Ovis aries: one gene and its partner. The protein of the gene in region 1 purifies or fractionates together with the protein of each later gene. This does not show direct contact. Links are inferred from orthologs where the notes say so. Each region holds a gene or a part of one and is shown on either strand. Other genes may lie near its edges.

Region 1 (4,598 bases):
CTAGAAGTTCAGGGGACCAGGGAAGTTCATACAAGGATCTGGAGTCAGGAGGAAAACAAGGAAACGAAAGCGGAGCGGCAGTTAAGTGGGTCACAACCTCTCACCTGGGGACTGCTGACAGGCCCGGAGAATCCTGGGGGAGCTGGAGGGGGCAGGCCGGGGGACCCCATGGAAGAGCTGATAACTGGGAAGGGGGAGCCCAGTGGTGGGGGTGGCATCGAGGGTGGGGGTGGAGCCCCAGAACCTCCAAGGGACGCAGCTGCTGAAGGGGGTAAGGGTGGTCCGGGAGGAGAAGGGGGAGCGGCCCCCTGGGGAAGGGGATTTGGGGAGGAACTGTCTGGGCTCCGCGAGTCTGGGGGGGGTGGTGAGGGAGGGTACACACAGGCACAGACACACAGAGACAGGAGAGACAAAAAGAGAAAATGAGTCTTGGATCGCCCAACGGGAGACTTCCATTCTTTCTCTCTGATTTCCCCACCGCGCCCCCATTCCACCCGTTCCCAAGTCCAGAGGCAGCCTACTGCCAAACAAGGGCTGAACCCCTAATCGTGGTGGGAGGAGGGGGCTGATAAACAAGAGGAGAGCTGAGGGGAGGCAAGCTCCAAATAGTGAATTTGGCCACCCCAGGCCGGAGGCGTCTCGTGTGGGTGGGGCAGCACGTGGGGGGAACCCGCCAGCCTCTGCACTCCCAGCTCGCCGCCCGAACGTGCAGGGGAGAGAGACCCCGCCGAGGGCGCGGAACTCGCCTCCCAATGTCCAGGGTCCTCAGGCTCGAGGACCGGGGCCCTGCGCCGGGGACAGCGGGGCAGCCGGGCCTCCGGCGGCCGCCGCTGGGAGAGCGGAAGCGCCCCCTGGCCGCCCCGCCCCGGGGGCAGGGCACTGCGGCCCCCGGGAGGAGGGGACGCGTGTTTACAAACAAGGGGGCGGGGGCGCCCGGGAGAGCGCCCGGGAGGGGGAAGGGGCCGCCGGTGTCGGGGTCTCGGCGCCCGGGCCCGTCTGCGGGCTCACTCACCCCGCCCGCTGTCGCCCATCCCGTCCCGTCCAGCCTCCCCCGGCTCCGGCTCCGGGGCCTGCTGTCCTCCGGCCGCCGCCGCCGCCGCCGCCGCCGCGGGATCCAGCCAGGGCCGCCGCCGCCGCCACCGGGACGCGACCCCACAATGCATTTCTTTTCGCACCCCCACCGGCCCACACTGCCCTGCGGCATGCCGCTGGGGGAGGAAGGGCGGGCGCGCAGCCCAAGACATGACTCCCAGCTGAGTGTAGGGACGCCGAGCGGCACCAGGGGTTGCCGAGGACCGCTCGGGGGGACGAGCCGAGCACGAGGAAGCCCCAGAGGAAACGACTCTGGCTTCAACCGGGTCAAACTAAGCGCTTCGCCCGGCCCTGTACCAAAATGACAGCGCCAGTGTGGCAGCCATCTTGGTATAGACGGGAAGTCTTCGCGCTAGTTCCCGCCCCCTCGTCTAGTTGGAAACGGAGGAGGCGGTCTTCTCCAGCCTGTTAGCCAGTCTCGCCAGGCATCCCCTTAAATAACCTCCACGTCCGCGCATGCGCGCCAAGGCTGGTCCGCATCCCCGCCACCCGGAGTGCGGCCATATTGGTAAAGGTGCTGGGACCGAGGTAGAACGGGACTCCCAAGTTCTCGCGGGAGCTAGGGGCGGGACTGCCACGTCCGAGTAAACCGGGAAAGGAGAGGATCCCGGAGCCGGTGAGAATTCCCTGCTTTTCTCTACTGTCCTTTCCAGGCCCTTTTCCTCACCTTGCGGGTCATAGAGACGAGAGCCCAGAGAGTCCATAAAGTGGAGGATCGAAGCCTAGAGCGGAGTCCCGGGGGCCCTGTATCAGGGAAGGGGTTCGGGATAGAGTCTCGGGAACAATGTGGGTGGGGACAGAACGGAATGGGGGAGCGGCCCATAGAAGTGGACGGTGGGCGCGAACGGAGTAAAGCGGACCCCTCATGGGTGTAGAAGTGAGGGCCAAGTGGAGTCACTGTCTCTGTCCCTCTGGTCAGCGTGATGGCCAGAGGCCTGGGGGGCCCCCGCTGGGTGGCCGTGGGACTGCTGACCTGGGCGGCCTTGGGGCTGCTAGTGGCCGGACACGGGGGTCATGGAGACCTTTACGAAGACCTGCACGAGGACTTCCACGGCCACAGCCACAGGCACTCACATGAGGATTTCCACCACGGACACAGCCATGCCCATGGCCACGGCCACACTCACGAGAGCATCTGGCATGGGCATACCCACGCTCACGACCACGGACATGCACACGAGGATTTGCACCATGGCCATAGTCACGGCCACTCCCATGAGAGCCTCCACCACCGAGGACACGGACATGACCATGAGCACAGTCATGGAGGCTATGGGGAGTCTGGGGCTCTAGGCGTCAAGCAGGACCTGGACACTGTCACTCTCTGGGCCTATGTGAGTCCCCTGGGGATGGGGCAGAGGGAGGCTGATGCTGTATTGTTGGGAAACCCCACACCTCTTAACCCCTGACTCTCCCTCACCAGGCACTGGGGGCCACGGTGCTGATCTCTGCAGCTCCATTTTTCGTCCTCTTTCTTATCCCTGTGGAGTCAAACTCCGCTCGCCACCGCTCTTTGCTCCAGATCTTGCTGAGTTTTGCTTCTGGTGGGCTCTTGGGAGATGCTTTCCTGCACCTCATTCCTCATGCTTTGGGTAAGTGATCTTTAGCTTCTACCTCAAATCTTAATGAATTTTAGTCTTTGGGCAAGACTGTTCTTTCCCCTTTGTGACCCTTCACCTTCTAGTGTTCCTGCAAATACACACCCCTTGCTTGGTTCCCTCATCTGGCCTTTTCTCCCTCTTCTTCCAGAACCTCATTCTCACCACCCTCTGGAGCAGCCAGGACATGGACATTCCCACAGTGGTGAGGAAGGGGCGGGTGGAGACACGGGTTGGGGTGCTGGAGAAGGTCTATCTCTCCTGTTCTTCTCCTATGCGTGGGGAGGAAGAGTCCAGAATCCACATCTCCCTTAATGTCTCAATGCATCTATTCCCAGGCCAGGGCCCCATTCTCTCTGTAGGACTGTGGGTCCTCAGTGGAATTGTCGCCTTTCTTGTGGTGGAGAAATTTGTGAGACATGTAAAAGGAGGACATGGACACAGTCACGGACATGGACATGCTCATGGTCACACACATGAAAGTCATGAACATGGAAGACAGGGTGAGCCCAGGAACAATTTTTCTGAAAGCCACATTGCCTACCTTTGGATCTCCTCATTTGAAGGTTCTGAAGTGGGAGGAGACTAGCCTTGTGAGGATATATTGGCAGATCTTTGTTCTCCGCTTACACCAATTCCTTTTTTCACGTACAGAGCGTTCTTCGAAGGAGAAACAGAGCTCAGAGGAAGAAGAAAAGGAGGCAGGGGCATTGAGGAAGAGGAGAGGGGGGAGTACAAGGCCCAAAGATGGGCCAGTGAGACCTCAGAACGCTGAAGAGGAGAAAGCAGGGTCAGGTGAGAGCCAGGGTTCCATAGGCTTGGGCCAGAGACATAGTTGTGAATTGCTGGAAATAGCGCTGTGGGTGATGGCAGGTGTCTGGGAAATACTAGGGCTGGATATGAACTGGTCTCTCGGGGAGATGTGATAATGGTTGATCACGGCTGGGACTAGGGGTGATGAATGCCTCTAACTCTTTCATCTTCCCTTTCTCCTATAAAAGACCTACGTGTATCAGGGTACCTGAACTTGGCTGCAGACCTGGCACACAACTTCACGGATGGTCTAGCCATTGGTGCTTCATTTCGAGGGGGCCGGGGGCTGGGGATCCTGACCACAATGACTGTTCTGCTACATGAGGTGCCCCATGAAGTCGGAGACTTTGCCATCTTGGTCCAGTCTGGCTGCAGCAAAAAGCAGGTTGGTGATGGTGTACACCAAACATGGTTACCTCAAGCCCTTTACCCTCTGCTCACCTAGCCCCAAACCAGACTGCCACTCATGAGTTTGAAACAAATTGTACTACAGGCATACTTTGTTTTATTGTGTTTCTGTATTGCACTTAGCAGATACTGCATTTTTTACAAATTTGTAGCAACACTCTGTTGAGCAAGTCTTTTGATACCTTTCTTCCAACACTGTTTGTTTACTTCACATCTGAGTCACAGTTTGGTAGTTCTTGCAACATTTCAAGCATTTTCATTACTGTTACCTTGATCTGTGATCTTTGCTGTTACTATAGCAAAAAGATTGCAACTTGCTGAAGGCTTAGGTGATGGTTAGCCTTTTTTAATCGGTATTTTTTAATTAAGCTCTTACATTGTAGGTATAATGCTACTGCACACTTACAGGATAGTGTAAATATAACTTACATGCACTGGGAAGCTAAAAAATTCATGTGACTTGCTTTATTGTGATGGTCTGGGACTGAACTCACAGTATCTCTGAGGTATGCCTGTATTGGTGACAGTGGATCCTCTAGTAGTGAAAAGGAAGAAGTTATGTTTGTCTTGCAGTTCAGTAGTTCTTGAGCTGTAATCCAGAAACCATCTGAATAGTATAGGGGTCTTTCACACCGTGCCCCCTACCGTGACCTGTTGAGTCAGAAGGTCTGTGGAAAGGGAACTCTA
Region 2 (4,463 bases), on another chromosome or scaffold:
ACAGTTCTGAAGGAGTAGAAAGTCTAAAAAATTTGTTGAATGAGGAAGTTTTTAAAAGAACAGATCCTAACTTCAATTTCTGGTCTGTTGTTTTTGTTTATAATCTGGTCACCCCAAAGTTCCATATTACTGATGTCAAAGTTAAACAGGCAGAGACTTATTCAAGACGATCACAACAGAAAAGAGGGGCCAGGACTCTGTCTGAACTCAATTCAACAGAAAGCTTAAGATATTTTAAGAGTAGGAAAACTCTCAGGTCAGTTCTGTTTACCCAAAGGAAATTCCGACTCTTTTTGACCTCATGCACTGTAGCCCACCAGGCTCCTCTGTCCATGGGATTTTCCAGGCAATGATACTTGGGTGGGTTGCCATTTCCTTCTTCAGGGGATTTTCCCAACGCAGGGGTTGAATCCGGGTCTCCTGCACTGCAGGCGGATGCTTTACCATCTGAGCTACTAGGGAAGCCTTCACAAAGGAAAAGTAAAATTTCTCTAAGCTTCGTGACGGGAGGCAGTTTTACAACTTGAAACAAAGCGCCTGCCTAACTTAGGCTTCTATGCTTCCAAGGAGACTGGGAGTTACGGGTGCTGTCTCCTTTTCTGCCATTTTAAAAGGATGACTCCTAGTTCAAGAAAGACAGCCCTGGGTTGTAACACGGGAAAGAACTTTTAAAAAGATTTATATCCCCAAAATGCAGAGAATCAATTACCAGTTACCAATACCTGTACCAATTATTGCTACAGTTAACAGTTTTCTAACGTAACGCTCTAAGGAAAGGGAGGTCAAGGACCCAGAGGCAGGAAAAAAATACCTGATAAAATGTGTACCTGAGCTGAGGGAAACGTCAAGGCGGTCTTTAATAAATGATTAGCTGTATTTATGCAGTTTTGCACCAAAAAACTCAAAGTATGAGCTTCCACTCTTTCCCGGTTTCTTCCTGCAAAGAGTTGCACACTTGACACAACTTTTTCCTTTCTTTCTAGTGCGCCAACCTCCCTGTCTAGTAAAATGTGTACCTGAGCTGAGGGAAACGTCAAGGTGGTCTTTAATAAATGATTGGCCGTGTTTCTGCACTTTTGCACCAACGAACTCAAAAGATGAACTTCCAATCTCTCCTGGTTTCTTCCTGCAAAGAGTTGCTGCACACTTGACACAACTGTTTACTTTTTTTCTAGTGACCTAACAACCCAGTCTAGTAAAATATGTACCTGAGCTGAGGGAAACGCCAAGGCAGTCTTTAATAAGTAACTGGTTGTATTTCTTCAGTTTTGCACCAACGAACTCATATTACAAGCTTCCACTCTCTCCTGGATTCTTCCCGCAAAGCGTTGCTGCACACTTGACACAACTCTCTTCCCGTTTGCTTTCCTTCTAGGGAGCAAACCGCAGGCTCCCTCCCCTCGACTTCCGGAAGTGCGCGGGGCGCAAACGGTCTCACGCGCCTGACGTCACGGAACGCGCCAGCCCCGGAAGGTTAGCAACCGGGAGCGTCCCTAGTAGCAGGGGGCTGCTGAGATGTACGAACTTCCGGTTGTCGACAGCAGCTGCAGCTGCCGCCTCCGCCACCTGCGGCGGGCCAGGTCTTCGCCCGGGCCTCAGTCAGCGTTTCTCCCCCGTCTCTTCAGTTAACACGCCCATGGTCCCGCCTGGAGCCAGGGCGGCGGGCGCCGGAGCTCGCGCGCGGTGAGGGAGCCGGCCGCGGACCATGCAGCCGACGCTCTGCAGCTGCTGCCTCAGCCGCGCCCTGGCCTCGGCGCTCCTGCTGTCCCTGCTGCTGCCCGAATTGAGCGGGCCCTCCGCGGGACGGCCGCCGGCAGCGCGGGCCGCGCCCGACCCCCAGCCCGCGGCGCGCGGGCCGCGCACCCGGCCGCCTCCGCCGCCCGGGCCCTCCGCCGCCCGGCCCGCGGGCCGCGCTCCGGCCTTGGAAGCCGCGGGCTCGCGGGGAGCCGAGGGCGGCAATGGCAGCACGCCCGGGGCGGGGCCGGCCGCCGACGACCCTGGCGGGAAGGCGGGGGCCGGGGGCCCGGCGGGCGGCGTCCTGGCCGTGAGCCCCGACCCCGGCGACAAGCCCATGACCCAGCGGGCCCTGACCGTGCTGATGGTGGTGAGCGGCGCGGTGCTGGTGTACTTCGTCGTCAGGACGGTCAGGTGAGGCGAAGCCTCCGCGAGCCTCCCCGGCAGGCCTGAGGCGCGCTTGTCTGCCGACCTCCTCCCACCCCCTCAGTCACGGTGCCTGCTGAGTGAGATTGTGACGAGGACTGTCTTGAAAGCCTGTGGTACCTTTGGGAGTGTTCAGACCGCCAAGTTCGTGCTGCCTCCCTTTTCATGTGTAAACTATCAATTAGCACCGAACCTCTATATCAATATTTATTTGAGTAAATTGATAGTAATGCAGAATGATCTTTAAGGATGATTTATAAAATGGAAAAAAGAAGTTCTTTTAACAGCAGTTTCCTGCTGTTGACTTTTAACTTGCCACCATCGGTTGTACCTTATGAAGTTTCTTGCTTTCCACCTTTTCTGAACCTGGAAACTGACAACTGCGTAGGTTCAATCATTGTTAGAGTCCCCATTAGAAACATCTAGCATTCATTTTGCATGACACTAAATAATGGACATGAGTTTGAGTAAACTCCGGGAGTTGGTGATGGACAGGGAGGCATGGCGTGCTGCAGTCCATGGGGTCGCAAAGAGTCTGAGCGACTGAACTGAAATAATATGGTGTGAAATATTACCAATTTCTTGATAAGGTGGAAAACTGATACCTGTGCAGCAAAGGGAAAAAAGTCATAAATATGATCCCGTTATAATATTGGAGAGTATGTTTAATATCTTAACAACTATATATGTTTTAACTTTACAAAATTTGGATTAGTAAATGGATAGACTTACTTTTTTTAAACTTCCAAAAAGCTTTTCTAAAATGAATTCATCTGTAAATAATTCTAAGTCATTCAGAAGCTTAAAGTTACAAATGAATAGTTTTTTGAGCTTATTCTTAATATAGAATGTTAGAGAATTAGTTAAATTTCAGATTTGTTACAAATATGGACACTTAAACCACGTCTTTAACTTTACCTAGGATAAAACTAACCTAGGAGAATAAAGTGATGTCCCACGATATATAATAATCATCACTGATTGTACAATCCATCATTTGCTTCGTTTGAATTTTTTTCCATGATGTTTGTGTCCAAATCTGTGATCAGCCTTTTGATTAAATCAGGTCCTTACATTGTACCAGGTTATGAATAAGTAAATGACTATCACTTATTTTTCTACTCCCTTTAATGCCTTATCAAGTAGAAAAGGAATTATATAGGTCAATTGGTGATATTTTATATTGTCGTAAGTAACTTCCACTTGATACGTTCTATTGTTACAGAAGTAAAGTTATATTATGGCATGAATCATGGTATTATAACATGCCAAATATGTAATGAGACCGATTTGGAAAAGTCATGATAAAGCCTCTTTAATTGAGTTGGGGACCACCTCTGAAGCGTTGAAATGCAGAGCTAAGAACTCGCTGTTAGAAGAAGCCGAGAGAAGAGCTAAGGAAGCTCTAGGTAGTTCCCTCCTATTTACTGCGGTAGAGGTAGTTGTGTGGGAAGGTACTGGTTTGTTTTCCAAATTATTTCACTTTTTTTCTCCCCTATAACTGCCTACCTTCAACCATTTCATATATTTCTTTAAATGGATTTACTTAAAGTTTCCTTTTAAACATATCTGTTTATTATTTTGTGAGTGAAAAACATTATTTAAGCGAACATTCCTTGGCTTAAATAACTAACTGAAAAAGCACAGCGTAACAGGGAACCCTGGAGGGTGGTAGGGTTCTCTGAGACCTGTTCAGGTATCTGCAATATTGAAACTATTTTCAAAATAATACATTCCCTTATAAGTTTATGACTTCCCTGGTGGCTTAGACAGTAAAGCATCTGCCTACAATGCCGGAGACCGGGGTTCAATCCCTGAGTTGGGAAGATCTCCTGGAGAAGGAAATGGCAACCCACTCCAGTATTCATGTCGGGAAAATCCCATGGACGGAGGAGCCTGGTAGGCTACAGTCCATGGGGTCGCAAAGAGTCAGATATGACTGAGTGACTTCACTATAAGTTTATAGGACCCAAGAAGTTTATTGATAATAGTTTCAAATTCCGCAGTGCAGCTAACTCATAAGAAACTAACTCTTGTCGCGTTTTGGTGTTCTATCAAAAAAAAAATGTTAACACCAGAATCTGAAAAGCTATTAAAATGTACCTCCATTTTCCAAGCTCACATCTACTGTACCTGGATTTTCTTCACATCCTTCAACTAGACAACGCATAGCAAATGATTGAAGGCTGAAGCAGATATGAAAATCTAGCAGTTTCCTATTTTTCTAATTTCTCTCTCTTCATTTTCTATCTCGTTCTCTCTATTTAAGCCAGACATTAACAAGATTTGAAAAAAAAAAAACC

Evidence for each region.
Region 2: the proteins of SLC39A7 (region 1) and FAM174A purify together in Homo sapiens (co-immunoprecipitation; 3 studies listed by BioGRID and IntAct, with this or other methods). This does not show direct contact. The link is inferred for Ovis aries from reciprocal best matches to the Homo sapiens genes SLC39A7 and FAM174A.

Annotation. Positions count from the first base shown.
Region 1 is NC_056073.1:7,539,636-7,544,233, forward strand, and holds the start of SLC39A7 (zinc transporter SLC39A7), read left to right. Parts: upstream 1-1,659; 5' UTR 1,660-1,708; intron 1,709-2,011; 5' UTR 2,012-2,015; coding exon 2,016-2,426; exon of another isoform or gene 2,427-2,515; coding exon 2,516-2,684; exon of another isoform or gene 2,685-2,841; coding exon 2,842-2,895; exon of another isoform or gene 2,896-3,028; coding exon 3,029-3,193; exon of another isoform or gene 3,194-3,344; coding exon 3,345-3,485; exon of another isoform or gene 3,486-3,691; coding exon 3,692-3,888; exon of another isoform or gene 3,889-4,598. Other genes in the region: RXRB (retinoic acid receptor RXR-beta), read right to left, coding at 105-352, 1,013-1,244. UniProt on the Homo sapiens protein: Transports Zn(2+) from the endoplasmic reticulum (ER)/Golgi apparatus to the cytosol, playing an essential role in the regulation of cytosolic zinc levels.
Region 2 is NC_056058.1:97,365,010-97,369,472, forward strand, and holds the start of FAM174A (membrane protein FAM174A), read left to right. Parts: upstream 1-1,512; 5' UTR 1,513-1,705; coding exon 1,706-2,148; intron 2,149-4,463.